Alligator mississippiensis: one gene and its partners. The protein of the gene in region 1 purifies or fractionates together with the protein of each later gene. This does not show direct contact. Links are inferred from orthologs where the notes say so. Each region holds a gene or a part of one and is shown on either strand. Other genes may lie near its edges.

Region 1 (7,450 bases):
GGCATGGTTGAGGGGGTAAGACACCAACCCCACGAGGGATTGGGAGACCTTGGCTTACAGTTATGGCTCTGACACTAACCTGCTGTATAACCTTGAGCAAATCACTTCATCTATAAGACTCATCTTTACAGGGCAGGGACTGTCTTTTACCATGTTTGCAGCTAACCTACACCAGACTAGCCTGGGTATGGGCATTAGGTTTGATTGCAATAGAAGGATTAAATAACAGTAAAAGTGCATACTATTTTCAATACTTGAAGCTAGTGTCAGGTGACAAATAACTACTGCTAGAAGGGACCCATGGTGTCAGGTGTAATCAGGCAAAATTCCAGTTGATATCAAGGATTAAGGACTGAGGTTGGGGTCCATGTCATGAACAAATGAAAGATTTTAATTGCTGGGGGACTCTGTCTAGCAGACAGATTTCCAGGACAGAAAAAAAAAAATAAAGAAACAGCCATTCACTTTACACGGTAAACATTAGCTAGAGTGTCCTGGCAGTGTTCAGAGTTTGTGACATTTGCTTTTTTGATGTTACTTGCTTTTTTTTTTAAATGCATTCTCTCACACACCAAATGCTTCCTATGAATTACAACTTATTGAAAACAGCTTTCTACCCCTCTCAAAACACCCGTGTTCCTACCGAAGCACATTTTAGGTCATTTCATTCTCTGACTCTTCACAGGAGAGCAGCAGTGAGTCTTTGAAATCCAAAATACAAAAACACAAGTCACATCAGTGGTTGGACTTTTCAAAATCCCTTCCCCCCCCGCCCAAATTTGCAATACAGTAAAAAAAAACTTCCACAAAGAGCTTTGAATAGAGTGGATTTCACTGCTTATCAAGAGTTTCAGATACAGGCTAGAGGGTAGGCATGTCAGGCACGAGTTGTGCAGATACTAATCTCAGATTCAACCCTGAAAATCCAGAGTAACTCCAATGAGATCAATCTAGATTTAGTGACCAAAATCTAATTTAGTATTTATTGTTCACTGGAAAAAAAGAGTCATGAGAAGCTATTAAATGATCATTAAAATTCATGGTTGATGAAGCAGCCTTTTAAAAAAAAAATAAATAAATGAAAAAAAAAAATCAAGAGTTTCAAACTTTCCCAACATTTTAAAGCTATTTGTTTCACTGGTTCATGCAACAGATGCTGCTTTGTGTGTACTAGCCACTGCATATTAAATCATTCTGACAACCACGACAGCACACATTTGTGTATGACAGACAAAAAAAGCATGCATATATACACACAGAAGCATATAATTATACAGCATTAAAATATTTTGCATGAACTTTAGCCTTTGGGTAAAAAAAAAAAAAAAAAGCAGTGTTGTATTATTCCTCAAAATAATCAACAGTACTAAGAATGACAGTCATGTAAGTGAGCTTAGAGAAATAAAAAAACCCCAGAAACTTCAGTTATAAAATGTTCCTCCTTATGGCCACTTCTCAAATTCTGAGAAATGCTTGTGCTCTCCCACACGTTATAACGGACCTTGTGGGCACAACCGTGCCAAAAAAACCCTACAAGATTGCATAAATAATCTGCATGAAGTCAGTTATTTGATCCGTGCGATCCCTCACCTACCTACTAATCCCACTCAGCTGCATGAACGGCGTCCTTTTTTGGAACAAAATAATGAGCCTATAACCATGTAAATGTGCCAAGTAATATAACCTCATGTAATATAGCCATGTAGTGTGCAAAAAGATATAACCCAATGTAATATAGCCACATTAGTGTGCAAAATATAACCTAATGTAATAGTCACATTAGTGTGCAAGTGATATAACCTCATGTAATATAGCCACGTTAGTGTGCAAAATATAACCTCATGTAACATAGCCATGTAGTGCGTAAAAGTTATATAACCTCATGTAATATAGCCATGTAGCGTGCAAAAAGATATAACCTCATGTAATATAGCCACATTAGTGTGCAAAATATAACCTCATGTCATATAGTCACATTAGCGTGCAAAAGTGATATAACTGCATGTAATATAGCCACGTTAGTGTGCAAAATATAAGCTAATGTAACATAGCCACGTTAGTGTGCAAAAGTAATATGACCTAATGTAATATATAGCCATGTAGTGTGCAAAGTGATATAACCTCATGTAAGTCACATTAGTGTGCAAAAGTGATATAACCTCAGTGTGCAAAATATAACCTCATGTAATATGGCCATGTAGTGTGTAAAAGTGATATAACCTCATGTAATATAGCCACATTAGCGTGCAAAAGTGATATAATCTAATGTCATATAGCCACATTAGCGTGCAAAAGTGATATAACCGCATGTAATATAGCCACATTAGTGTGCAAAATACAACCTCATGCGATGTAGCCACATTAGCGTGCAAAGTAATACAGCCACAGTGTGCAAATATAGCCAAATGTCATATAGCCACATTAGCGTGCACAAGTAATATCACCTCATGTACTATAGCCATGTAGTGTGCGAAAGTAACGTAACGCCACAGTGTGCAAGTATACACAGCCAGATGTAATGGAGCCAGGTGAGTGTGCAAAGTAACGCAGCCCCACAGGGCGCAAAAGTTGTGCAGCCGAACGTAAGCGGGCCGGGCCGTGCGGGGCCGGGCCGTGCGGGGCCGTGCAGCCGCGGTGCCGGGGCAGGGCGATGCCGGCTGGGGGGAGGGGAACAAAGCGGGATCCCGCACTAAGTGCGCCCCGCACCGCACCCCGCCGGGCCGGGCCGGGCCGGGCCGTACCTGGGGATGGTGATGCACTTGGTGTTGATGCTCTGCGTGGTGATGGCCTTCTCCAGCTCGTCCAGCTGCCCCGTCTTCTTCAGCTTCTTCACCAGGCTCTTCACCGCCTTCTCGCACCACTTCTCCTCCTGCCCGTTCTGCTCGCCCTTCTTCCAGCCCAGCAGCCGCTTCACGATGGGGGGGGTGAAGGGCAGGATGGACGACATGCTGCCGGCCCCGCCGCCGCCGCCGCCACCACCGCCGCCGCCGACAACTTCGCCTCAGCTCGCCCGCCCGCCGCCGCCGCCGCTCCTGCAAATGGCCCGCGGCCGCCCCGCCCGGGAAGGAGGCGGGCAGGGCAGGGCAGGGGAGGGGAGGGGAGGAGAGGGGCCGCCACCAACCGCCGCCGCCTCCGCCTCCCCGCGCCGGGGCAGCCCCTCAGCCTCCGCCCGCGCACACGGGGCTGCCCTCCACACGCACACACACACACCCCTCCGCACCCTGCCCCGCGCCAGGAGCAAACATCCATTTCCCCTTCCCTCACACACACACACACACACGGGCACCTCTCCTCCCCTCACATACATCCATTTCCCCTTCACACACACACACACACGGGCACCTCTGCTCCCCTCACATACATCCATTTCCCCTTCACACACACACACACACATACACACACACACACGGGCACCTCTCCTCCCCTCACATACATCCATTTCCCCTTCACACACACACACACACACACACACACACACACACACACACACACACGGGCACCTCTCCTCCCCTCACATAAACGCACAGAGAAATGGGCACCTCTTCTCCTCTCCGCACACTGCTCCAGGCCAGGAGCAAACATCCATTTCCCCTTCCCTCACACACACACACACACACACACGGGCACCTCTCCTCCCCTCCAGGCGCAGCCCTCTCCTCTCCCCTCACACACACATGCACACTGACGTGGGCACCTCTTCTCCTCTCCGCACACTCCCCAAGTCCCAGAGCAAACGTCCATTTCCCTTTCCCTCACACACACACACACCCTGGGGGGACTGGTTCTGTCCTCCACGCCAGGGAGATTTGAGCCGAAAACAGCTTTAAAAGCAAGAAGCGGGCCCTGAAATCTTGCTGCAAAACGAGCCGCGTACAAGAGAGACTCGGGGGGTGCCACACTCGAGACCCTTTAGCTCAGAGATCAGGGCTCATGGTCGAGGCGGTGTCTTTTATGAAGCCAACTAGACATTTGCAGAAAAATTTCTTTCGTTGCAAGCTTTCGGGTGCACGCACCCTTCATCGGGCATCAGAGATGAGCTTGTAAACGTTCTCCTGGGGAGAAATGACAGTTTACATTGTATAGGAGTGTTGAAAGTGGTTAAAATCTGTCTGGAAAAGTTCATTTCATTTGCAGGTTAGGCTCAGAGAGAAGTTGGAAAGATCTGTTTCCCTCGAAGTTGTTTGTTGGTGAGCAGGATGTATTCATGTTTCCTTCTGGTGATGGTGTTTCATATTTCACAGAGGAGTAAAGCGGTGGGATGTTCCTCTGAGCACTAATTCAGAGAGGACACCACCTTTTATCAGACCAACTAAGACATCGCAAAAACAATGATCTTTTTCTGCAAGTGTTTGGGCATACACCCTTCCTCAAGCTCAGGGAGAATTAAAGAGGGTAAAAAGTCCCCGTAGGTAGAAAATAAACTTCATTTTTTGCACAGAGGAAGCTGAAAGTGGACATCTGTTCCTCTGGGTGCACGAGGGTGTCTTTGGGAGTTGCTTTCTGATGTGCAAATAAGGCAGGATTCATCCTTCCCTGGTGGAGACTTGGAAACTGCCGGGGCCTGGACCTGCAGAGAGAAAGCTCTCCAGATAAGAGCGTATCTTAACCCTAAAAAACCCCAAACAAGAGCTGTGTATGTTTTCCTGGCTGCTCCACAAGTCCTAGGTGGGCTACTGAGAGCCCCAGATTCCAGGGTCTGCAATTCTCCACTCAGCCAGGGTTTCCAGGCCCTAGAAAGCAGCCCTAATTTTGAGAGACCCATTTTTTGACTGCCCACATAGAGATGCTTTGAGAAGAGAGAGGCTACGTATCTGCAGATCGCACTGATGACATTTCTAGCAGTGGTTGTTCAATGCCTCTGAAAATCAGGCAAACATTTATTTCCTCTGGCTGTTCAGCCTACAGTTAGGTCACCGCAACTGTTCACCCCAAATGAGAGAGAACCGTCACTACTGCTAATGCTTGCAATGTTCGGCATTTTTTCTTAAAAGCCAAAGCACGTGAAATCAAATGATTTAGGCGAGAATCTCAGCTTTCGTTTAAAACGTTTCTTTCCTTAACAAGTTTGGAGAGGAACTTTAATACCGATCCAAATGTAACCTAAATGCTCAAAACCCAGAAGATACAAATAAAGAAGCCTGGTGGGTTATTATTATTTTTTTTAAATCTCAGGATTTTAAACCAAAAGGTAGATTCTGCAGAGGCTGTTTCTACTCTGTGCTGGAATGGGGCAGCAACTCAGAAAGAGAAGTGAAAAGTAACACTGAAGTCTCAACCCTGAACTGATAGTTTGTACTTTGGACTTAGATATCTAGTACGTTTCAAACAAGGCTCTCAAAATGTTCAACCAACGCTCACGGGCCAAGCTTCGCTGCGTTTACATGAGGTAGAGATATTATGATTATTATTTCACAGGAACAAATGGGTCAATTTAAACATGGGGCTGTTAGGTGCTTTTCCCAAATTAACAGTCAGTGGCAAAGCAGCAAATGAAGTCCAGCAATTCTAGCTCACATTTAACTTCTTCTCTTGTGCCGAGACACCCTGGATTTAATTCTGTCCAATTTACCCTAGTAGGTGCGTTGAACTCAGCGAGCCACATCCCAGATTACATCAGCATGGAGATCAGTACAGCTCAAAAGGGGAACAAATTTGGTAACAAGATGCAGCATTCATTTTTAAGATTAGGGACATTAAGTTTTATAGAACCACCTCTGGGAGTGCTTGGTTTACCTGTCAAAGGAGCTGTCCTGTGAAAACATGCCTTTCTGAACCCCCAGACAGTCTGTCTTTATTTCGGAGAGTTTTGGATACTCACACAATGGAAATATTAACAGACAGGAAAAGGATGGAACCATCCTAATTTTTCATGGTCTGGATCCCTTTTCTGGTTTATAAAAAGTCTGATGTCTTCGTGGCTACCTTCAGGCTAAATAAGCAATAAGCATAAATTTTTATAGCAATATAACTACTGCCTTCATCTTTTAAAATACACCTCATCTTTAGTATCCTTACCTATGTGACCATCCTTACGCATGTGACCTCTGCATGTTGAGTCTGGGACCATCTGGGACTCAATCTCATCCACTGAGATTTTGTTCCTACTGATATGTACAGTTATGGAGCCCACTTAAGAAACCAAAAATACTTTTATGGATAATGTGCATTACTCATACTTTTAATTACATGAATATATTGCCAGATCTAGTAAAAAACTAGTTTACGCGGCACGTTCATTAAATTAATAAGTTTAAACTTTACCTTCTAAAACAAGAAAACTGGGCTTTCAGTTGAGACAATACAGAATTAATCGTTAACACAAGGTGAAAACAAATTCCTTCTAAAGAGCCTGTGAACATACACAGAGATACACTAGTGCTGGGCATGCTTTTAATTGCTTGCAAGACCAAAGGACAGACTCTCTGCTCCACACTATTCTCTTTGTATTGCTCATGGTAAAAAAGGGAGCGGGAGAGTCCAAAGCAAGCGTAGAGCCAGCTCTCTCCATAGGGGTATGTCAGAACTGGCAGGCTGAAGTACCCTGACTATCCCTAACTGGCAGTGGTCCTTTGCAGAGCCATAGACATTGCCTTTACACTGCTCTAATGTGTACTTGGGGTTGTGACACAATCAGGGAGTGTTAAACATCTCATACCCCACCCCCACTTCTGTACCCAACTATTGAATTAGTAAGTCTAATTTCTGAAGTATAGCTATATACGTAAACAAGGTACTTTGGGTAGCTTCATAGATTGTAAGGCCAGAAGGGACCTCGGAAGATCATCGGGTCCAGCCCCATGCACCAAGCAGGAAAGATAACTGCAGTCAGGTGACCCCAGCAAGGGGACCGTACAGTCTCCCCTTGAAGACGTCCAGGGTAGGTGATTGCACCAACCTCTGGAGGGAGCTTATTCCAGTCTGGACACTAACTGTGAAGAAGTTTTTCCTAATGTTGAGCCTGAATCGATCTTCCAGGAGTTTGTGGCCATTCCTCCAGGTTTTCCCCTCGGGTGCCCTGGTGAACAGTTGCTCACTGAGCCCTTGATGTGCTCCCCTAGTGTAGTGGTAAGCTGCTACCAGGTACTCTCTCAGCCTTCTTTCCCTCAGGCTGAAGAGTCCCAGATCCCCCAGCCTTTCCTCGTATGGCTTGCCTTTTAAGACTCTGATCATATTAGTGGCTCTTCTTTAGACTTTCTCAAGCTTGTCCATGTCCTTGTTAAAGTGTGGTGGCCAGGACTGGGCGCAGTGCTGCAGCTGCAGTCTCACCAGTGCTGAGTAGAGTAGAAGAATCACCTCCTTGGCTTTGCTGGAGATGCATTGACTGATGCATGCCAGAGTATTATTTGCCTTACTGGCTATGACATTGCAGTGCCGGCTCATATTCATACTGTGGTCTATTATCACCCCCCAGTTCCTTTCATTCATGGCGCTAGTCAGTTTGGTGCCACCA
Region 2 (7,967 bases), on another chromosome or scaffold:
CAATAACACTTCATCAATTTTTATTTAAAAAACCAAGCCATGTTTGGACAAAAAGCACACTTATCAAGAATGACAATAAATACAAATATCTCAAACTCCTCTAGTCCCCCTGAGTTCACAGGCAGATCAAACACCTCAGAAAGTATGATTCTGTTCTAACAAGTGCCTGTGCAAAGACATTCCTCTTCTTCAGATCTGATTCTCTCTCTAGTCAAAGTCCTACCTGTTTACCTTAGTAATGAAAACAATGTTTATATTGCATTGTAGTCCTATTGAGTTAAAACTGACCATGCTTAACTTATTGCATATGAGTAGCCTTCCTGTGATCAATCAAACATTATGTTTGTGTCTGTAGGATTAGAACGAAGAGGCAGTTAGGTGAATTCTTTCAGTTCCTGTGTCATCACCAGAAGTGCTTACTTGCTAAATTTCAGTTTCAGAATCAGTTAGTTATAATTCTGCCAACTGTGATAACTAGCCACAGAAATTGAAGACAGCATGGGGTTAAAGATATTGCTTGATGTCTGATTAGGCCCACAGAGACTTCATTACTGACAACAATGAGTAAGAACAAGAACTAGTTAGAATTATAACCCCCACATCAAGCTTATGCATTGCAACTACCCCCATTCTTTAAGTTATATATTTAAGCATACTTTATATGGATGGCACTGATACCATTTCAACAGGGGCTCTTATAACGCATATACAGAATCATGGGGGTATCACTTATCACAACAACATTGATTTCAGTGCAGCTACCACATGTAACAAAAATTCAGGAGCCAACCCAACATTTCCAAGGAATTAGTAAATCCTTATATGTTATGTAGACCAAAATAGTAGGCAGACTCAGGTCAGCACATGTTGGCCATCACCAATACAAATTAGCTTTCAGCTTTGATTTATGGAGTATTTAAGGCAAGATTTGAATGAAGATAATGGCTATACTACTACACTTGTTCTGTTCTATAATGAAAAAAAATTACAGCTTACCTAGCACAGCTTCTGGAGCTATTCCTCAGTAATACTAAGCTTTAGTTCTGCATATATAATGAAACTGGTGTTTACAAAAGTTACTATAGAAACGGTATCCCTAGCCACTGGTGGTGATTTATTGTTCTCATTATCTATTAAGCAATACGGTAAAAAGATATGGGTGCTGAAAGACAATCATGCTCTTGAGGATATAAGAAGGAAGTGCAGTAAAAGTGCTCTTTCAATTTGTAATAACTATTGTCTTAATATATGTACTTAGATTTCAAAACAGAACTCATTTCCCCTTAACAAAATTAACATGAACAAGGCCGCATATAAAATATAAACAATGCTTAAAGGGTATGGGTATTTTAATAAAAGGCAGTGTCTGCCTCATGCTTTACATACTTGGTTTTATTTTTAATAGAAATAAAACTCCTCTAGACAAATAGGACTTAGAAAAAGCTCCAGAAGAAGGTATGTGCTTAGGCCTTGATCCTACAAGTATTTGCACATGGGCTTAACTTTTGTGCATCACAGGGCCTATTGAAGTCAGCAAGACTACTTCCACAGGCAGGGAAAATGAAAGTGAAATAGATTAATATATTTTAACTGATTGAAAGGAAAATAAAAGTAAATAGCAAAAACAATAACCATGCCATTGCATTTTTTTATTCACAATCTCACATGTAGAGTAGACAGAGTAGGTAAGGTAATCATTGTTTTAAAAACTTTACTCTTCATCAATTATTGCATGTTCTTATTTAAAGAAATAAAAATTCCTCTGATTTAAGTTGTGTTCAAAGGGAGTCATTTTTTAAATTTAAAATGCCCTTAAAGTTTGTGCAGACTATCTCTGTTGGCACTATACCTCTCACCATTGCTCTCTTTTAAAGTTCTGCGAGGCTTGGGTTTGAATGACCAGTCCACCTTAACAGCCTATCTTAAAAAATATGGGACGTTAGCAGCCATCTTAAAGGGTCACTGTCAGCTTGAATGTAACATTTTTGCCTGAAAATACTGTATCAACTCCAACTGCTAACACTGGCCAGGAATTTTTCAGTGACACAGATGTGTGTTGAAAAGTGCTGATTGGAAAAGCTGAAATGTTTATATGAAAGTGAATGTTTCAATAAACTTCTGACAAAACACAGGAACTTTGCTTTCCTGCCAGCTCACCCAGGAGGCCCACAGCTATGGGGCAGCTCTCTCAGGAAGACTGGGCTTTCTTTGTTAATAGTGGTAGGAACAAGGACAATGCTGGGTGCTGGCTTTGGCTGCTGGCTCTGCAGCAGGGAGACTGGCATTTCTGAGACCCCTGGCTTGAACTAGGACTCTCACAGATTCCAGGTTTCTTTTCAGTCCAAGGATCCCAGTCCCTGAAGTCTCATGATTCAGCTGTGACCCCCAAAGCTTAATGCCTCCTACCTCCCCATCTGTTTACTGGGACTCACCAGGCTTTGAGAGCCACTGCTGACCTGGGGACTTTGGAACTGGCCACTATGACCTCATGATGTCTCTTCCAGCCCTAATTTCCTATGATCCTGTGATTCTTCTTAGGATTGTTTTGCGCTTAACAATGGGAGACAATCACTTAGTTATGTACAAAGAATTCAGCCCATTCTCCCCAATATTAAAGCATTTGCTATTTGGGCCAAAAATAGATTTACTTTTAAATTCTCAGAACATGTATTAATTACTTTGAGTTACAATTAATTTTCAAATGTGTCCTTTTAAAAATGTAGCACCTGGAGTCACACTTGTTTGTTGTCAGGAATGATCTCAATACATACTCTTCAGACTTGCCACATGATTAAAACTCACTAGTATTTCTTGCCTTAGCAGCATTTTAAATCCTCTTTCCTCTGAAAAATCAGTATTCAGAAAAAAAAAAAAAATCCAAATGCTATCCAGTATGAAAATGCAGAGTTAGGGCAACTAAGCAACCTTGACTCTGCCCTCAAGCATTCTTGACTATGCCCTAGAGTGAGGCCATGAGGGGAAAACAAAACTGATGTGTGTTTAAGAGCAGTTTTATAACCCAGGACTATAATCTTATGCTAATAGTAATTATATAGCTGTTGCTTGATAATGTCAGATGGTAAAGTTAAGGTGCTCAAGTGCTTTAATTGTATGTTGCCATGCCCAAATTCCTTTTCAAGTTACCCTTATTTCTGAATGTCCTGAATTTACCATGCTTGTTGACAGGGGCAGATCCAGGGGGTTGCAGTAGTGCAGTTAGACCCCCACTTTGATTCCTGCTGCTCCCAAACTTTAAAACCAATTACCTGGGCAGCAGGGAGGGGACTTCATGGCTTATTATCATCTCCCTGAGTCCTGCTGAATTCTACCCACTCCACAGGTGTTAATATAACAAGCTATCCTCTTCAATAATTGTCATATTTCACGATTCAAACTATCCTTTCTTCTGCAATTTTGCTTTCTTTTAGCCATTCCTGGTAATGTCTCTCTTCTGTTTCATAGCCCAGCAGAACTGTATTCAGCGCTAGCTTCAGCACTTATCTCAGGTGTGGTAATATTAATTCAGAAGTAGAAACCACCGAGTGTGTCTACACGAGACTTTACTGCGGAGCTGCCTAGTTAGCTCCACAGTAAATGTCTCAGTGTCTACATGTGCAGTGCTACTAGGCAGGAATAAACTAACCGTGCAGCACCCTTGTGCCTCAGCCAGTCCCTTGAGAGCAGGTTGAGCTGGGCTGAAGCAGCTTCTGGCTGGCAAGCTGACCACCCCCACAGCTCCCTGCCAACTGGGGCTGCTCCCACCCAGCTCAATATGCTGCTGTCCTGGGCCCAGGAGCAATAAACTCTGGCAGGATGTGTGCTGGAGTTAATTGCACATGTAAATGTGCCCCAGCCAAGGCTCTGTGTACCCAGGTCTTAAAAACCTCTAAGGATGGAGCTTCCACCACCTCTCTGGGGTCACCTGTTCCAGTGTCTTACTACCCTCCTCTGCACTGGTGACGTATAGGGGGTGCATGGGGGAGAGCGCTGGTGCACCCCCTGACAGGCTGTGCTCCCTGCTTAGGCGATGGGGGTGAGGGGGCAGGCAGGAGGGCTGTGAGTATTGGCCTGGGAACAGGAGTGCTGGATGAAGGGCCACAGCCACTTCTGGGAGTGTTGCCGCTGCTTCCCGGTCCGTGCGAGCACCTATGGGGCCCCCCCCGGTCAGTGAGATTGGCTGTGGGGGACTGCCCCAGTTACTGACTGGTTGCTGGTGGGTCACATGCCCCCCCAAGGTGCCACCAGTCACCCACACTCCTCTGAGAAAGTGTTTGCCAAAACCCATGAATGATTGGTGCCTCCCGAGACTGGGGGGGCACAATGTGTGGGCAGCAGCGTTGGTGGCAGGGTGGTGAGCAGCAACCCCCGCCCCCCGCAGAAACTAGCAGCGGCCAAGCTCAGGGGCTGCACGTGTCCCCCCACAGAAGTTGCCTATGCCAAGACCCTGCCTAAACGTCCCTTGCCGCAACTTGAAATTATTGCTCCTTGTTCCATCTTCTGCCCCCTCCCCGAGAACAGGCCAACTCCGGCCTCTCCGTAACCCCCGCCAGGGAACCGAAGGCTGCTATGAAATCCCCCGTCTCCTCTCCTCCGGATTACACAGACTGGTTGGCCGTGTGGGGGGCACGCACGCACACACACACACACACACCTCCTAAGCCATTTTGCTGCCTTTCCCCCGAGGGGTGTGAAGTCTCCCCTCAGGAAGGAGGCGCGGGGCTGCCCGCAGACGGAGGGGGAGCGCGGCGCCGTCACGCACGAGGGGACTTGGGGGGGTGGCGGTGGCGGGCGGCACCAGGTGCGGGAGCCGGGCCGGGCCGCGCGGGGCTGGGCTGCGGCGAGGGGCCGGGACACAGGCCTCGTCAGTCCCTCCCCCTGGCACCGGGGCGCCCTGTCCCCGGCCGCCGCCTGCTCCCGGCTCGGGAGGTGCCGCCGAGGTGCGGCCAGTCCCCTCCCTCCTCCCTCCCGGGGAGCAGCCGGCGGCGGCGGCGCTGGGAAGAAGGGGAGGGTCCAAGCGCTGGGCGCGCCGCGCCCGCCCGCCCGAGGCGGCGGCATGGCCGAGGCTGGCGGGGCCGGGCCGGCGGCGGGCGCGGGCCCGCAGCAGGGCTCCCCCGCCGCCGGGGGACTGCCCGCGGGCGGCGCGGCCCGGGCTGCTGCCGCCGCCGAGAGCCCCGGGGGCGGCGGGGGCGCCGGCTCGGCCCGCATCGCCGGCAAGAAGGCGCAGCTGCGCTCCGCGCCCCGCGCCAAGAAGCTGGAGAAGCTGGGCGTCTACTCCGCCTGCAAGGTACCCCCCACCCCGCCGCCGCCGCCGCCGCTTGTGGGGCACTCGCCCCGGGAGGCCGGGCCGGGCCGGGCCGGGCCGCGGGGTGAGGCGGCGGTGGCGGGGGAGCTCCGCCCCGCCCCGCACTGCACTGCACGTCTCTGCCCGTTCCTGCGGGGACGGGGGAGGGGAGAGCCGGGCTGCGAGCTGTGCAGCGGCGCCCCCGCTGGGCCCTGCTCTGCCTTTCCGGGCAGCAGCGCCTTTGTTGTGACAGGCGGACAGCTGACGGGGCGGCGCTCCCGGCCGGGGGGACCTGAGCTGGGGCAGGAGCTCGCCCAGCTCCCGGGGAAGGTGGGCGAGGAGCTGCCTAGGCGGCAGCCGTGTACCCCCGTGAAGAAGAAGGCTAGTGGCATTGCTGGACGATCGCAGTGTTTTATATCCTGTAGGTGTTCTCATTGATTGCCGAGGCAGGGAAAACACCACATGTCTTGGTTCACGAAGGCAGTTTTCCTTAAGCCTTCCTGGGGATAACTGTTCTTCCAGCGCTGCTTAGTACCCACCGAGGTGCTGGGGCTTAATGCCCATTTTATGGAAATGGGAGGCTCCACCCTAGCTTGCTCCTATGCCTGAGGGTAGGTGAAACTTGGGGGCTTCTGAACCCCAAGCCTCCTGGTTTGGGCCTGCACACAGGATGCCTGCCAAAAAACGATGGAAATATCTGAAGGTCGTGGTTGGGGGTGGAGGATGTTTGCTGGTTCTAGGGCCACTTATGTTTCTGGACTGACTCATGGATTTGGCTGATTTGGGTTGGAACACAAAAAATTTCTTAAAAAAAAAAAAAGAAAGCTGTATGAATAGGAGCGGGGTCAGTGGATGGAGGGAAGTGATTGTCCTCCTCTGGTTGACACTGGTGAAGCCACGTCTGCAGCCGGTTTGGGGCCCTCCGCTACAGAGAGGTTGTGGATAAATTCGGGAGGGCAAAGGAAAATGGTTAGCAGGGCGGGGAGCATGATTTAGGAAGAGAGGCAGACGGAACTGGGCTTACAGGCAGACCCTGGACTTATGACGCAATTGCTTCCTGAAACCCTCATCTTAAGTCCAAATGTTGTAAGTCTGTACCAATTTTTCCCATAGGCAACAATGTTATAAATGGGGGATTGGTTTCTGAACCAAGGCTGGATACCCAATTTTCACCAAAAATAACCCAGAATTTTGTACTCAATTATAGATGAGTAATATAGCTACATTCATGTATTTATATGGTAAATAGCAATCATACTGGTTTGGAAGGACTTCTTTGCGGCAACTTTGCTCAACTTTTTGAAGGGCTCTTGGTTGGGCTTTTTGAAGGGTTCTTGGCTGGAGTCTTCTCTACAGGTTTTTGTGGAGTTTTGTCTGCTTTTTTAAAGAAAGTGTCCAAGGAAGTTTGGACAGATGCTCTCCAGGGAGATGGGCAACGTAGCGAACTTGTTCACTGGCGTGGCATCATGTTGGATCAAGCATTGTAAAGTCTAAACTGAGGCCAGAAAGTTGAAACAGGGTGTCAATTTATAAACCTTGTAAGTGCAAAACCTTGTAACTTGAAATGTTGTAAGTCTAGGACTGCCTGTATTTAGTCTGAAGAAGAGAAGATGGAGGGGGGATTTAATAGCAGTCTTCAATTCCCTGAAGGGAGGTTTCAGAGAGGATGGAGCTAGATCGGGGGTAAGCAACCCCCAGCACGGGTGCCAGAGTGCATTTTGCTTGGTGTGTGCATCTCAGGACAAATGGCAGGGAAGGAGTCAGGGCTGTGCCGGCGGATCAGGCCCCTCATGGCTCCCCTGCCATCTTCCTCTGGCATGCCAACATCTTACAAGCTGAGGATGCCAATATTTTTGGCACTTTGTCCAAAAACATTGCTGACCCCTGAGCTAGATTGTTATCAATGGTAGCTGATGACAGAACAAGGAGCAACAGTCTCAAGTTGCAGCAAGGGAAGTTTACATTGGATATTAGGAAAAAATTTCTCACTAGCAAGGTGGTGAAGCACTGAAACAGGTTACCCAGAGAGGTGGTGCAATCTCTATCCATGGAGGTTTTTAAGACTTGACTAGACAAAGCTGTGGCTGGGATGATCTAGCTGGGGATGGTCCTGCTTTGAGCAGGGGGTTGGACTAGATGGCCTCCTGATGTCTGTTCCAACTCTAATTCTCTATGATTCTAAGCAGTGGCTCCTAACATAGGCACAGAGACAGAAACTTTCCTTTAATTTTTTTAAAGTCCTTCCTAGCCAGCAGGCACAATTTGAACATAGAATATTCTTAGTTTGATTCCCAGTGGAGAGCAAGTGGGTAGCATCACAAAACACCACCACTGCACATGGCATCCTCTTGAGGCTCAGTGCTTTGAGGTTATGCCTAGTAATTGAGTTTGGGCTCAGGGAAGCTTATGCTCCTCTGATTCAGTTAGTTTCTAATGTGAGTCTCTAACCTAGTCATGATTTAGATCTGTTCCTCTAGTTGTGTTTAGCCACTCTAGATCTGTTACTGTGGCCAGGTATTGTGGATATTGCCGTTGCCTTTGCTATACTTTTTTTTATGAGTAGATATGCCATTCATTGAGGGTCATTAACTCAGTTGCTCTCATGAGAACTCTGTTCTTGTAAGCTATTTTCACTAGAAAAATAGTCTAGATATATGGAGGTGAATCTGAAGAGAAACTAAGACAA
Region 3 (7,816 bases), on another chromosome or scaffold:
AAATAAATTTTATTAAGTGGTAGTGTATGTAACATTGCATTGTGGGTAGCAGTTTCCTGCTTTAACCTAGCCACATCCTCAGCTGTTATATGAGACAAGTTTCCCATATTTTCTGCAAGTTGACTTTTTTTTCTTTTTTTCTTTTTTTTTTTTTTTTAAAGAAAACAGACAGGAGAAAATAGCAATAAGATTATAATGATTTTAAACCTATATATTGACTGTAAGACTACAGCCAAGTAGAATTATCTTCTCACTTGCTGTACAGATGAAGAAATATATGCATAAAGAACAGGGGGTAAAAAAGCATTGCTATTCAGGAAAATAACTGAGCTATAAATGTGCAAAAGCAATAGCCATTGAGAGATATTTGACTTTTTAGATGAAGAATCTTATTTCGGGCCCAAACACAGGCAGAATACTTCAACACTGAAGTTGAATTGGTGAACATTTTTTCTGAGTAATGATAAATGAGAAAGTTAATAACCCAAGGCAACATAAAACAATTATGTTACTTACTACTAAATAAATGTATCACTGATTAACAAAGGCTTACTGTCATCTTAATCTGTCATAGTGGTTTTCTGTTCAGATTTAAACTGATCTTTAACAGTATGAGTTCAATGAAAAGGGGGCAGACAACCAAATATTTGCTTAACCTGGGAAGAAAAAGCTACTTTTTTCCCCCACAATCTGTGATTTCTAAATCAATCAAGCAGCTTCATATCTTTCTTGTTAAATTAGTGCATGGAAGTCAAGGGAGAATAAGACGCAAAGAGGAGCATCAAAGTGGATACATTTGTCATTCATTTGAATATCCCTCATTTATCCTGCAGATGCCCAAAAAAACCTCTGACAAGAGTCAGTATTTTTAAAAAGTGGCATTAGGAAAAAAAACCTAACTTGTAAGAGTATTTTTACTGGATGTTATTTTATTAATAGGTACTTTCACATTCCATTAAAGAGAAGGAAAAATCTTTTATATTAACATTCAGGCTGTATTAAGCAACTATAAAGATGCTGGAAGTGAAAAATCCCAGTCTACACAGCCCATCCACAAAATATGAAAATACTACAATTATACACATTAGGACAGAATAAGTCTACATCAATTTAGTAAGAACTACCAAAAAGTAAATTCCAACACCACTAAGAAAACTATAATGGAGGGTGAGAATGGCTTCTGATTGTGAGATGCTGAAACCAAGCACACGGGTTGGTTCAGATACAGAAAAATGTAGCACCAATAGATACGGATCTAAGGAATAAAATCTGTCGAGTTGAAGCATCTGAAGTAGTAATAAAGGGTATTATCTATGTCACTTTGTGTGGAAAACTATTAAACTATCATCTACTCGTTGAATAAATTACACTTAGTTGCAAGACCATCATCCTACCAGAGTAAGTAGAATTTTTAAACCCCTCTAACCATAGCATCAAAACAAATTTAAGTACAAATAAACTTTCCCCAGTGAATCGTACTGTTTATTTGCTGTATAAAAAGTATGAGCGACAAAAAGCAAAATGTTTGGAAATAAGATAAAGCAAATCTTTAAAGGTTTTCAAAACAAATTTCCAAAAAGATAAAGGATACGATGGCATTAGGTTTGTATTACAATTGATTTTAATTTCAAAATGAGATTTAATTTGTCATCAAAGAACTAGTCCATAATTTACAAAGCAAATTCTTTAACTTGATACTCCTTTTGTAAGTGTAATTGTATCAGTGACTTAAAGTATCCCCTGTGGATTTTTTTTAAGTTAACTTTGATTTTTTTTTTTTTTTAGTTCTGCCATTTAAACAAAAGACTGTCAAATGTATGACTGCAATCAAGAGACTTGTTTACACAACAGCTTTTCAAAATTCAGATTTCTTCTTCATTGCACTAAAAGTGCAAACTATTTTTGAAGAAAGGGGTTGCCAGGTATTGAGTTGAAACACAATTTTGCTTGAAACCTCCTCCCCCCACCACACTATACCCACTAAAAAGGAAACATTTCCAATGCCAAGAAATATTTAAATTCCAAATTAATAGAGAAAACATGTTTAAGAACTACACTCCAACCAGACACTGGAACAAGTTTTTATATTGTTTGGTAAACTTTACCATGCTAAATAGAAAATTTATTTTAGTGATTTAAATCTTAAAATCTAAGTTGAAAAAGCTCCATGGTGCTACTCAAAAAATTATACCTCGCAGATAACATATTAAAAGGGAACATTGGTAAATAACCTTACAAATATATCAGTGAAAGAATGAAACAGACAAACAAACAAAAAGCCCCAGCTATCTTGAAGAATTAAAGACATTATTTCAATTTACAGAAGTTAAAAAAGAAAGATACAACACCTCTGTGGCAAGTTTCTTTTCAGACACTGAAGAACTGACTAGTAATAAACTTCTTCGGTTTTAAAATTATAAAGGATGGTTTTCAATGAATGAAAAAAAATTAGTCTGCCGGCAACATTTTAGTTATAAGAAAATTAATTTTCATTACCATAATATGCAAACTGATAAACATTTTCAATGTGTTACTGAATTTGCAGAAGTCTGCACTTTGTACAAATTCTGTGAACTGAAATTCAACAAATTATAGGGAAATGCCCTCTAAATGCTTTTATTACATTAAAAGTTAATTAAACTTCTAACCTAAACAAATATACTTTGTTTTTATGATACAATTGCCAGTAAAGTCAATCATTTTTACCACCTTACCTTTTTTGTTTCCAGTGATGGTCGTACCATAATATAACATTTAGAGGTACAAGAAATGCATCTTCAAAAGGGACAAGTTAAATAATGGTTTTTACTTTTTTACATGACAGTTCACTGTATAACTCCTAATTTTAAGAAGAATTCTGGAAATGTGGCAACTTTTAAGAACTGAAAATGTTCCAAAATACAAGCACAGTATACATTGTAATAGGCATTATGACAGAGACGTTGATAAACAAAATTATTTTATGTTTTTCTGATACATATCAGCCCTCCAAAAAAGAAAACTTTCACAAGTTGTGATTTTAATTGAAAATTCCCCTTTCCCATTTCCTCACCTCCATCCACCAAAAGGGGAAAAAAAAAGGAACAAAAGGCAAACCCGGTCTCCACCCACTTTTCCATTTATTAGTTTCACACCACTTCTGGTCATTTTCTTATTCGGGAAGTAGGGGTAGGAAGAATGGGGAAGCAAGAGGGAGGTTAGTTGCCAGGGATATAGACATCAGAAGTGATACAAATACAGGCTGAAAATCCTTAGCAACTTTCTTTTACTGCCATGCTTCTATCCCTTCCCCGCATATACCAAAAATCCTACACTCTGATGAAACTATAAAATGCAGTGCCCAAGGTATACAATCATGCTAACAAGAAAATGAGTTCTACATATAAATGTCCAAAGGGGCAAAAATAAGACAGTTTCCCAAAGATGTTTCCAATTTTGTTCTGAATCTGAGTGAGCAAATCAAGACTACTAATACACACTGTCTGTGCATATTATTCCTTACTATGCACAGCATTTTGCAATTTATTTCAAAGCCTCTATTATAAACACAAAAAAATACTGCTGCTGTTAACCCATTCTGTACTGGTATAGTAAAAAGTTTATGCTACACAAAGTCAAAGTTAAATATGTGATAATATTGTGAATGCACACACAAACCTGATATAAGTGTTCAAATCCAACATATGCATCAAATTTATGCTTCATCTTTAAAATAGATGTTAACAGTAACTGCTGAATAAAGTTATTTACAGTGTCCCAAAAAGTCTAAAGTCTATGCTGTTCCTCTGTAACATTAAAATTATAAGAAACAATTAATGTAAGTGCAATCAAAATCCCACAATCCATACAATTCATTATGTTAAGCGTCCATATTAAATCCCTACAACAGTTTTTATTCTAAAAGCACAATGTATAAAGCAGTACCCAAATAATTTACAGCATCCAAATGACACTCTGTACAATATACAAAAGGTATATAATTACACTTAAATGTCATTATATAAAACTGCCAGCTAGTCTTGAATACATGTAAGCAAGACAGACATGATTTAAAATTTGTAAAGGAATCCCGAGACTAACACTTCTATGACAGCCAATTACAGTACAAAACAGCCCCAACAAGCTGCTACTAGACCTTACGAAAGGTAAAATTTCTTACAATGAGTTACAGATTCACAAGTATAAGAAGACAAGAAGAAAAAGTAAAACAGAAGGAATCCAGCCACCCAGCAAATATGAAGCAGACCCAAGATCGTGATACAATCCAAAGATGTAAATTATTGTAAATCATCACTGTTGTTCAGAATTTCACACAGCCACTTGCGCCAATTTTGCTCACTTTGCCACAGACACAATAATAAGCTAGAGACAGGACGGGGGGGGGGGGGAAGAAAAAAAAAAAAAGAGGGGGGAAAACCTGAAGTGAGAGTACAAATAAAGTTCTGCTGTCCATATGCTTTAACTGTACAGGAGTTTGGGCTCTTTCACATTTTGTACTCCCTCCAAATCCTCATGAGTCACAAAAATTAAAAAGCTATATCCTTCTGGATGCCAGGAAGGGCCTTACCACGGGCCTTTTGTCAAAATAAAAAAAAAAAAAATAGAAAGAAAGAAAAAGCCACAGTGGTAGGCAGTCCCACTTTACTTTGAGTACTCTGATGTCACAAACCACATGATTCTGTCTCTCCAGTAACAGTGCTTGCAAAAAAAGGAGTTTTAAAGCTTTTGCTTTTTTGGATTGTGTGAATGCTTCATTCGCCTCACAAACAACCACAGAACCACAAGTGCGGTGCAAACTTTCTCCAGGAGGACAGCAAGAAGCCTCTGGTTTTTAAATGGTTAATCTCCGCAGGTCACTACCAGCCACTGAGACCAACAGAGTCAGTAAGTGCTGTCTAACCACAGTCTATGCAGTAATAGTAGGTCCTTCAAATATTTGCTCATTCTCTTTTTTTTTTTGTTTTGTTTCCTTGCTTTTCACATGTTACCAGCGCTTCACAATTTTTTGACAGAAAAAAACAAATATAGGAGTCTATGCACTCCAAGCACTCTGTAAAACTAAAGGAAGGTTTGGCTATGGTTTGTGTTTGCAGTTTAAGGCTCCAAGCAGCACTTACATCAGAAGGTACAAGTTCTGTGTGAAAAGAGAGGGGGACTATGGCATCAAACAGTCTGTTCAGCTCAGTGACACCATGTCAGCAAAACTTCTTTTGGGGTAAGTACCACAATCCGTTTTTAAATTTTCTGAGTAAGCACTGGGCATTGTCACAACAGAAAAACAAACTTGTTGAATGATATATTATGGTTTGAAGATGGGAGATTTAGTCAGGTGAAAAAAAAACGTTACTGTAAGTAATACGTGCATATTAAGAACGACACTGTTAACTGAAAAGCTAGGCAACATGAAATCACCAGCTTATACCTTGGCATTTGACAGCAGGTGTGCTCATCTGTCACCTATCTGACTCCATGTGTACTGCGACATGTACTTGGAGACGTACGATGCTGCTTTGAACTAGGTAAAAAGCTAAAGTATTAAATTAATAGAATCAACCACATCTTACAATACAAGGTGAAGAAACTAGGAATAAAATGGGACATTTCTATACAGTTATAACATGACTGGGTAATCAAATTACTGAAACAGAAGTAAGTTACATGATTTAACAGCCAGTTCTCTGTATCTGAAAAAAAGTTAGTAAAATATCAGATTCAACCAAAGAACCTTGTCTGCCTAGATAAAATATAGCATCTGAAATCCTTTCCTGCACATCACTGCCCTAGCAATTGTCCTAGATGTCTCAAATTAAACTTCATCTAGTAATATGCTAACAGGAATCTGTTAGACCAACAATCTGTTAATGTTTCCACTTTTTCACAGCAAGGCATGGTTTACAATGCATCAATGCTCCGATACAGTTTTTCTAACCATACTTAAGTCAAGACTAAGCAAAGAGCAGTTTCTGCATTAAAAAAAAAGCCACCAAAAAACCTGAAGTTTCAAAAAAGTGGATGAAATTAGCATTTTTAAAGCTACTTTATATAATGGTATGTTGCCAAATATTGGATTAAATATTCAGATCTGTAAACACAGATGTCTTAAAACACCTTCATAAAATCATGCAATTATGAATTAGCATTCCACATATGCATGTACCATGTAGATTTACATGCATGACCCTACTGAGAGTACACACATTGTACTTCTAACATCATTTAGCTCCAAACCTTTTATTCTTCTCAGATCTGCTGTTGGATTCAATATACATCAATGTCTTTTGAGATAGAGAACCCCTATATAAAACTGAACGAGACTAACTTTTGAGTGATTTGTATAAAATCTTAAATGCTTTCAAACTTTCGTTTAAAAGGGCAATAGCAAAATGCTGACCCCTGATCACATTTGATCAGTGGTCAGACACATATGAAAGATTTCTCACTGAGTCATTTAAGACAGAGGAAGAAAACAAACTGAAAGAACAGTAAAACATTTTCAAAACTTACAAAATTTTCTTAATGCTGTCCATCATGATGAAGCTATAATGGGGCTGTAGTTAAACCTATTTCCTTTATTCCTCCCTTTTTTTCCTAGTCAAAAAGATGCTACATATGCTTTCAGTATAGATTAAGCTTGTATTGCAACTAGCTGATGGTTGGAGTTCCTTTTACCCCTCCTACTTCACGCATTGCAACTGGCTCCTATCTAAGCACATGAATGTAGTTTAAGTCTATGAGCACAATTAGACATAAAGAAAAAGCTTTAAAGGAACAGAGAACTGTTGCGTTTAAAATGCACATAGGCACTGGAAATGCTACATCTCAGTACTGTCTACAATTGCTCTAATAGTTATACCTCACAGAAAAACTGGAGTGAAGTGCGGATACAAAAAATAGTCTTTAAATTGTAGGCAGCATTTCTACTAAAACTGCTCTCTTAATGAAGCACAGCAGAAGTGTAGCCAGACCACATTATCCCAGTGTTTACAACAGGAAATACAGTTTACATGTATAGGGACTTTCTTTTGCTTTTACTTCCAAAAGAGATTAGAAGAAAGTAAGTTGGCTAAAATTATCATAACATGCAGTGCCGACTGCTGAATTAGTCTACTTTTGGTCATTCTTTAACCTACTGCAAAGTGCTATAACCGGGACAATGAGTTCTTCCGAATTCTGTGTAAAAGAAGGGTATGTAAATATATCCTTAGAAACAAACTACAATGAATGTCTAAAACAAAATTTCTCTCATATCAACGTCATCAGTATACCTGAAAGTTGTGAAAATACCTATTTTCATGTTTACGCTTTATTGTAAAGAAAAAAAGAGCCAAATCACTCATCCATTTATTGTTTCCAAACTACTAAGGCACTTTTGCAGTTGCTTATGAGAATGCACAATTAGATTATCATTTTAAGTACTGTCAGGTTTGGCATTTAATCTCTTCCAATTCTGTTCCACGATTTATTCCAACTGGAACTGCAGCATGAATCACGTCTCTGAATTACGTACCTGCTAATCTGTTTCAACCTGTGGTATTTCTGCAAATTTTCATATCACCTGATGCGGGGAGGGGTCTTCTGTAACTTCAAGAGCATACAGTCTTATTCCTTTAAGTCTGAATTATCTAAACACTAGGTTCTGTACTCATTAGACTAATTCTGCTCAACAGGTATGCTCTGAACTGAATCCAAGTTTGAGTGTGTTCTATTTGTATATGCCTTCCTTTCAGTTTTTTTAAATTTAAGCCTACCAATTCAAATAGGCTAAGGCTCTCATAATTTTGCCTTTTGTTCAAAGTGAATCAATACTAAACTGCTT
Region 4 (7,328 bases), on another chromosome or scaffold:
AATGAGTCACAACTGAAAACTGTGGAGTAGAATTTTTCCATTTCCCTGATCTGCTTCACAACTCAATAGGACTTTTCTCTTTGGCCCTCTGCAGACTTTCCCTTAGATCAGTCAGGTGTTTGCTTATGCCAGCAGCTGCAGTCTCTGGGGCTTGCACCACATGGAGATCTGAAGATACTTCTTACTGGATGAGGTCCTCATATACATGGAATATTTACCATTTGAAACTTCTCAGCCTTAGGGCCTAGGCCACAATTCTGAGCCAAGTCAACTTGGCAGAAAAATGTTCCATAGTAGTTGAGAAAATAATCCTCTCTCCCTTTCCGCAGTAGTAAATGCAACCACTTCCTCTTTTGTTACACTCACTTTTTTCCTCCTTCCCCTCATTAGAATACTTGGTCTGTTTATTTGCAGGTAAAACCACTCTCTCAGACTTGCTCCTAAACCATGGGTACAAGGAAACAGTGTGGGGTTGCTGTAGTCACCTCTCGCAGACTTCTGACACATGCACTGTATAAACTGGTCCCTTGCTTTAGTGAATCTGCATGTTGGATGCTGTGCAGTGAATAAGGCAGCTTGACACGTTAGTGAGGATATAATAAAAAAGATGTAATGCATTATAGAAGAGCTGTATTGTGCTGCATGAGGCAGAATTAAGGTCACATGGCAGCTATAACTTTGGAGTTTACTGACTTGTAAATTCTTGCTTTTGCAACCCCAGATATTCCTTTTCTGTATGGATGATTGTTATGTAATAATATTCAAATATAATAGACATGTACAATAATAGTATGCTATAACCACAACGTAACATTATTTTATCTAACAGCAATATACTTTACAATACTTTTACGCAGTAATTAGGAAATGTCTAAGGTTCCCAATGCAACCTTTACCCTGCCCTCCACATGCTCATGAAAGGCCATTTATAATCTAATGCTGGGAATTTTGTTTGCATGAAAAGTTCACAAAGGGTGCCAGCCCTATGAAAATGTGAAGATACTAGAGAAAAGAAAAGAAGATACTCCTACTATGGGGATATTTAATGAGCATTTTTAAGGATACTACCATCAACTAGTGCACTATCTTGGGAAAAACTAACTTTTTGAATCACCAGAATGAAAGAAGATTACCAAAGCAGCCAGGCAGTGGCATGTCTTGGTCAAGCCTGTGGATGAGTGCTCAAATGAGTGAATCTTTTAAAAAATCCCTTCTAGTGATTCCCACGGGATCTGTCACCATACATAGAGAGCAAGGGAGAGAAGCGCACACATATACAAGATGTGGCTTTGCCTGGAAGACCTTGCTGTAATAGATTAAATGGCTGAGATTTTCAAAAAGGCTCAGTACTGGCCTAACCCTGCTCCCATTCTTCTTCTTTCGTATGACAAAAATGGTGTCTGTATCTTTATCTTTGTGCGCTTTGGCATTTTTGTCAATTGGGGAGCTCTTGGCTGTCAGAGATGTTACCAGGAATCACTATGTGGAAGTAACTCTTGTCAGCGCCCTCTATTCCCATTGAAGTCAGTGATAAAACTTCCAAAAACTGAGCCCTTTGGAAAATCCCATATAACAGTGTTTGTGTGACCATAAGGCTTAACCTTAAGGCTTTGAACTAAATCTTGCTCATTACACTACTAACTACAATGGGACTACTCTGTTTATGGGACTGTGATATACAGAATTCGGCTCATTTCCCCATGTCCTATGCAGAAGCTTCCCTAGGTAAAAATTACCAGAGTAATTAAGTAATTTTTTAATTCTGGCTCTACAAAGCAAAACTATAGAAACTAAGTTCTGTGAGGAGCTCTGAAGAACCAGAATTCCCTCTGATAAGGACTGCATAGCTGACATGTTGGGGGAAGGACATGAAGGGGAAGAATGATCCTGTGGTTAAGGCCTGGGACTGGGATTCAGGAGATCTAGTTTTAGCTCCAAGGTCTGCCACAGACTTCCTGGCATATGACCTCAGAAAAGCCACTTTAATATCTCTCTGCCTCAATCCTCCATCTGTTTAATAGGGTTAATACTACTTCCTTCCACCCTTTGTCTGTCTTGCTTATTCATACTGGGCATTGTTTAGTACACGTACAGAGCACACCTAGCCTCTAATGGCCAAATGCAGCTATGGAGTAATGTCATACAAACAAACAAACAAAATAAATATAATATAATTTGGGCCAACATTGTCAATTTTCAACTTAGCCCTAAGTGCATCCTCCTGAGACAGCCTGGGAGGATGACTGGAGATTCAGGGATGCATCTCTTTTCTCATCTCTCCAAATCTCAGAGCCCACTTGAATCACCAGGTGGTCTAGGAGAATAGTAATAGATGCTCGTCTGGCACAGCTTGGATTACTGCTGACATCTGGTATCCTTCAGTGGCTGTTCAGATATTGATTGATGGTCTGAACATGTCTTTACAGTGCCTTGAGCAATGGGGTCTGGGCCATAGCTCTTAGGAGCTAGCACAATACAAATAATAGTAATCAGTATAGTTTTCATGAACAAATGTCAGTATCCCATATGCACCTTAGTCAATACCCTATTCATAGACTGAATCACCCTTACGTTCCTATCAATGGCCTCTCTACGACAGAATCCAGTGACAGACACATGCATGTTGATGATCCAATATAGACCCAAATTGAAGTCATGTACTGCAATGTGTGCTGCTTTAATTGAAAATAACCTGTTATCATCTACACCTGCATTTATTCCAGTGAATTAAGATTCCCCCCTTACATTTGGATAAATTCAGCTTTATTGTCATACATACTAAAACATACTAAATCTTGTAGTTGAAATCTCGGTTGTAGCTTATATTTATCGATCCCTCCTTCCCCCCATAATGCAGCAATGGTGAAACACTCTACATGGGGCCTGGGTTTGTAATGGAGCAAAACCACAGCAATATGGTCAAAACTGAAGGCCTTCCCCAGTATGTAGCTGCCTGCAGAAGGCATGTCAGATCAGGGCCTTACTGTTTTAAAACCATTTAAAATTAAGCTGTGTACAAACCCCATTGCTCATACATAACTATAAATAAATCAGGGATAATTTAATTTGTCTGTTGAGGTAATTCTATCTAGAAACACATTAGAGGCAAACTTACTTTTCAGGCAACTGTCTCTATCCAGGAGATAGGAATACATTGCTTTGGTACTAAACCAAACACAACAAAACTGTAAATACAAATCCCTGCAATTACTAATGCAGATATGCTGCTAAGTATTTATATCTGCATTCAAATGAAGAGACTCATATTTAGTAATCTCTGGCTTTTATCAAACCAAGTAATTGGCATAGCCTTCCTTCAAGCTATTTGGGAGGTATTTCTGGTACAGTGTGTACTTGAAGGAGAAAGTGGAATGATATGCACATGTGTACATGCCTGGACATGTGCCTTCAGTCACCCACAGTGCTGAATGGAAGTTAAAAGGGACTTTCAATTTAGGTTTTCTAAAAATAGCTTTCCATATAAGAGCAACAGAAAATTTAGAACAAAAATTACAACAAACCTTCACCCCACTCTTCTCTGCTGTGTGGAAGCTATATGTTCAACTGTTTTGCTGTAAAGTAATTGAAAGCAATACCTGCTGAAATTATGTACTAGTGCCTGAGCACCCTGAGTACGTTTGACTGAAAGCAAACTATAAACAAAACTGAATGTACTGCACTGGTGCCTAGGGCTCTAGATCAGACATGCAGAAACAAGGGGAATAATAATAAAAAACAGTATTACTTTGCACATGTATAGCTTTTCATCTGAGAACCCTAAAGCCCCTTCCCAACCCTAATCAATACGGCCTCACAACTCCACTGTGAGGCAAGGATGTTTCATGAGCCCTGTGTATGAAGGAAGATGAAACTGAGGCAACAGCCCAGATCCTCAAGGTCACTCAGAGCAGGGGGCAGAGCTGAGAAAGAAAGGAAAGCAAACTGGCTGTTCAGGGCGCTTCATGTTTAGTCAATGAAGGTGTTCGTAGCACAGGCATGGCTTTTTCTGAAGCAGCTTTAACAAAGCAATGTCTCTTTAAGTCTCCAGAGCTCTCTGTATTATGCTCTAAAAGAGGCTGATATTATATACACTAGTCCTCTAGACGTCCTGACTTGGCGGGGGGTTGAAGCCAGGTTATTACCCCAGCATTTGCGGGGGACAGAGGCCGATCTGGCCGATAACACCGCTTTCTTTCCTGCAGTCGCTTGTAAACTTGTCCCTGGGCTGCCTGCAACCCGGCCCTTCCCTCCCTGTGGGCGGGGACCAGGCGGCTGCGGGGTTAGGTTGAGACTCCCTGCGTGTGTGTATAACTTTGTGTTGCCGCCGCTGGTTGTTAGGAGAAGGAATGTGGAAGTCAGCGGCGTGCGGGGCGGCGGGCTGCTCGGGCCGGCTGCCGCGGCGATCCCCGCCCTCCCCGCGCCACTCGCCGAGGCCCCGCGCGGCCGGCGGCCCCGTCCTGCCCGGCCTCTGAAGGGAAGGCGGCCGGCAGCCGGAGAGGCGGCGGGCCAGGGGCAGGAGCAGGAACCCGGCGGACGCTGGATCCGGACGCGGGCTGGGAGCGGAGGTCGCTGCTGGCGCCTCCCGGCGCGGAGCCTCGCGCTGCCGCGCTCTCCGCCGCTTTCCCCGGCGCTTTTTTCAATGACTTGAGCGACGCTGGGGGGTGGGGGGAGGAAAAGAAAAAACCTGTCAAGATGGCAGCAGTAGGAGCAAGGAGGTTATGAACGTAGTGTTGATGCTGGAGCCAGCCCCGTCCTCCTGGCAGCCCGGCGGCCCCCGGACCTGTTGGAAGACTGCACATTTTACTGCGTTTGGTTCGGATCAGTTGTTTTTTGGGTGATTTTTGGTGGTTGTTTTTTTTTTTTTTTTTTTTGCGCCGCCCCCCGCAAGAAGGAGGGGAGGAAGCCCAGGGTGGCGGCTTCTCACCTGTTCCGCTGGATGTGAATTGTTATTGGTATTATTTTTTGCTTGATTTTTTTTTTTGTCGGAGGGGAAGGGAGGGGGGCGGACATAGGAAAGCGACCTGCGAAGCTGTGAGCCCCGTCGGAGGCGGCCAGGACTTCGGTGTGAAGGAGGCACAAAAGTCTTCGGTGCCACTGGAAGGACGTGGCTCCTGCCGCCGGCGGGCAGAGCAGCGCGGGCAGCCGAGCGAGGAGGAAGCGCGGTGCCCACGCGGCGGGGCCGGCTCGGCGCTGGGGGCTGCGGGGAGGGGGCGCTGCCTCCCGCCGCCGGGAGCCGCACGGAGTGAAACATAAACACACACACCGCGCACACCAGCCACACGCAGGCGACACACACACCAGATACACACGCGCGCGCACAGCACAACACAACACAGGCGACGCATACGCATAGACACAATCGCACAACACACACCTAGACATACACACGCATAGAAACACGCACACGAGAAAGGGCACACAGCTACACACCGGACACACACGCGCAAGCACAGACAGACCCCCCCCGCCCCAGAGCCGGCTGCCGGCGGCGCCCGGTCCCAGCCCGCGGGGCGCCACATCTGGTGCATCTGGCGGCGCTCGCGTTTGGCGTGTGGCGGGCGGGCCGGGGTGGGCGGGGGGCGTGGTGCGGGTGTGGGTGTGGGTGCGGGCGGGTGCTGTGCTAGGCAGGATCTTCATGGCGAGCGGGGGCATGTGCGCCCGGCTGCCCCCGGCCTGCTAGGCAGCGAGAACAGTGGCAGAGCAGCGGCAGCCTCCCGCCGGAGCCGGAGCCGCGAGAAGATGGCAGAGGCGTCGCCGCCCGCGCCCCCGTCGCCGCTGGACGTGGAGCTGGACCCCGAGTTCGAGCCCCAGAGCCGGCCGCGCTCCTGCACTTGGCCGCTGCAGAGGCCCGAGCTGCAAGGCAGCCCGTCCAAGCCCGCGGGGGAGGCGGCCGCCGACGCCGCCTCCATGATCCCCGAGGAGGACGACGACGACGAGGACGGGGGCGGCTCGGCCATGGCCATCGGCGGCGCCGGGCCCAGCGGCGGGGACGCGGCGCTGGTGCCGGACGAGGCGGCGCGGCTGCTGGTCCCGGGGCCGGCCGGGGCCGGGCTGGGCGCGGGGCCGGGCGCGGGGGCCGCCGCCACCGCCTCTTCGGCCCCGCGCAAGTGTTCGTCGCGGCGCAACGCGTGGGGCAACCTGTCGTACGCCGACCTGATCACCCGCGCCATCGAGAGCGCCCCGGACAAGCGCCTCACGCTCTCGCAGATCTACGACTGGATGGTGCGCTGCGTGCCCTACTTCAAGGATAAGGGCGACAGCAACAGCTCGGCCGGCTGGAAGGTAGGAGCGGGGCACCCGACCCGCGAGGGGCTGGGCTGGGCTGGGCTGGGGGCTGCTGCTGCTGCTGCTGAGGGGCGCCCTCCCCGGCCCCTGCGAGACGAGCGGGGGGAGGGCGGCGGGGGCCACCTGCTCCCCTCAGCCGCTGGGGAGTTCCTCCAAACAGAGACTTTTCTCCCCCCCACCGCCTCCCTTGATAGTTGTCTGGCTTTTCCTACATGTTAGGGCAGCTGGGGGACCCTTCTGCTACAGAAACACATCGCCCTGCCCATCTCTCTCTCCCCCTTCGCTCTGGGCACTGGTCCGGGCAGCCGGGATCCGGTCCGGACCCAGAGGGAAGGGAGACAGGATCCGCTTTTCTTGCAGGTTGTTTACCTCCTGACTTTGAAAGCACATGGGGTCCAGGCAGTTTTGTTTTTATAACTGGAGCTCCTTTCTTTAAAAGAACACACACTCCCGTGCTAATATTAGACAGCCAAACTTCTTTCTTTCTTTGTCTACTTTCTCTTCATTCTTTCCTGTCTTCCATCCTTTCTTTCTCTCCTTTCCTTCTCATCCTTCTTTCTTTCTTTCTTTCTGAGCTCCCCCCCAAAACTGGTTGCCTTCAGTATTTATTGCGTTCTTCTGTGCATATGGCACATGCCCCGTCTTTTAAGCATTCCAGCTGCTCAGAAAGCAGTGTCACTGGCATGATGCAGGGTGGCTATTTAGCAAGGAGGAAAAGGCTGGCTCTCTTCAGTAGCAGCTCGGTGCCAGTATTGCAAGTCTTTACGGCTGAGCATCTGACCCAATGCCAGGAGGAGGATTTTTTGAAGAACTTTGATCCGATCGATGAGGAATGACATTTCCCATCACCTTTTTTCTGTTTTCTCACACTGGGGAGAGTTTGCATACTAGGCAGAGATAGATCACATGAAAATAGTCTAAGCTGGAGGATTCCCAAAACTCATTCTCATGTTTGAGACGTGATAAGGGTGGTATGTAAACGACTTCCCCCCTTCCAAATGGAACTTTACAGGAGAAGTGTTTGTGTTGCATTTGACACAGGA

Evidence for each region.
Region 2: the proteins of SMAD3 (region 1) and KAT2B purify together in Homo sapiens (affinity purification with western blotting, with the first as the bait; 3 studies listed by BioGRID). This does not show direct contact. The link is inferred for Alligator mississippiensis from reciprocal best matches to the Homo sapiens genes SMAD3 and KAT2B.
Region 3: the proteins of SMAD3 (region 1) and RUNX2 purify together in Homo sapiens (affinity purification with western blotting; 3 studies listed by BioGRID). This does not show direct contact. The link is inferred for Alligator mississippiensis from reciprocal best matches to the Homo sapiens genes SMAD3 and RUNX2.
Region 4: the proteins of SMAD3 (region 1) and FOXO3 purify together in Homo sapiens (affinity purification with western blotting; 3 studies listed by BioGRID and IntAct, with this or other methods). This does not show direct contact. The link is inferred for Alligator mississippiensis from reciprocal best matches to the Homo sapiens genes SMAD3 and FOXO3.

What each region holds. Positions count from the first base shown.
Region 1 is NC_081834.1:4,232,713-4,240,162, forward strand, and holds the start of SMAD3 (mothers against decapentaplegic homolog 3), read right to left. Parts: upstream 3,015-7,450; 5' UTR 2,948-3,014; coding exon 2,742-2,947; intron 1-2,741. UniProt on the Homo sapiens protein: Receptor-regulated SMAD (R-SMAD) that is an intracellular signal transducer and transcriptional modulator activated by TGF-beta (transforming growth factor) and activin type 1 receptor kinases.
Region 2 is NC_081828.1:150,497,903-150,505,869, reverse strand, and holds the start of KAT2B (histone acetyltransferase KAT2B), read left to right. Parts: upstream 1-4,950; 5' UTR 4,951-5,053; coding exon 5,054-5,284; intron 5,285-7,967. UniProt on the Homo sapiens protein: Functions as a histone acetyltransferase (HAT) to promote transcriptional activation. Has significant histone acetyltransferase activity with core histones (H3 and H4), and also with nucleosome core particles.
Region 3 is NC_081824.1:12,513,424-12,521,239, forward strand, and holds the start of RUNX2 (runt-related transcription factor 2), read left to right. Parts: upstream 1-4,805; 5' UTR 4,806-4,884; intron 4,885-5,093; 5' UTR 5,094-5,157; coding exon 5,158-5,215; intron 5,216-7,816. UniProt on the Homo sapiens protein: Transcription factor involved in osteoblastic differentiation and skeletal morphogenesis. Essential for the maturation of osteoblasts and both intramembranous and endochondral ossification.
Region 4 is NC_081824.1:94,245,394-94,252,721, forward strand, and holds the start of FOXO3 (forkhead box protein O3), read left to right. Parts: upstream 1-4,310; 5' UTR 4,311-5,739; coding exon 5,740-6,282; intron 6,283-7,328. UniProt on the Homo sapiens protein: Transcriptional activator that recognizes and binds to the DNA sequence 5'-[AG]TAAA[TC]A-3' and regulates different processes, such as apoptosis and autophagy.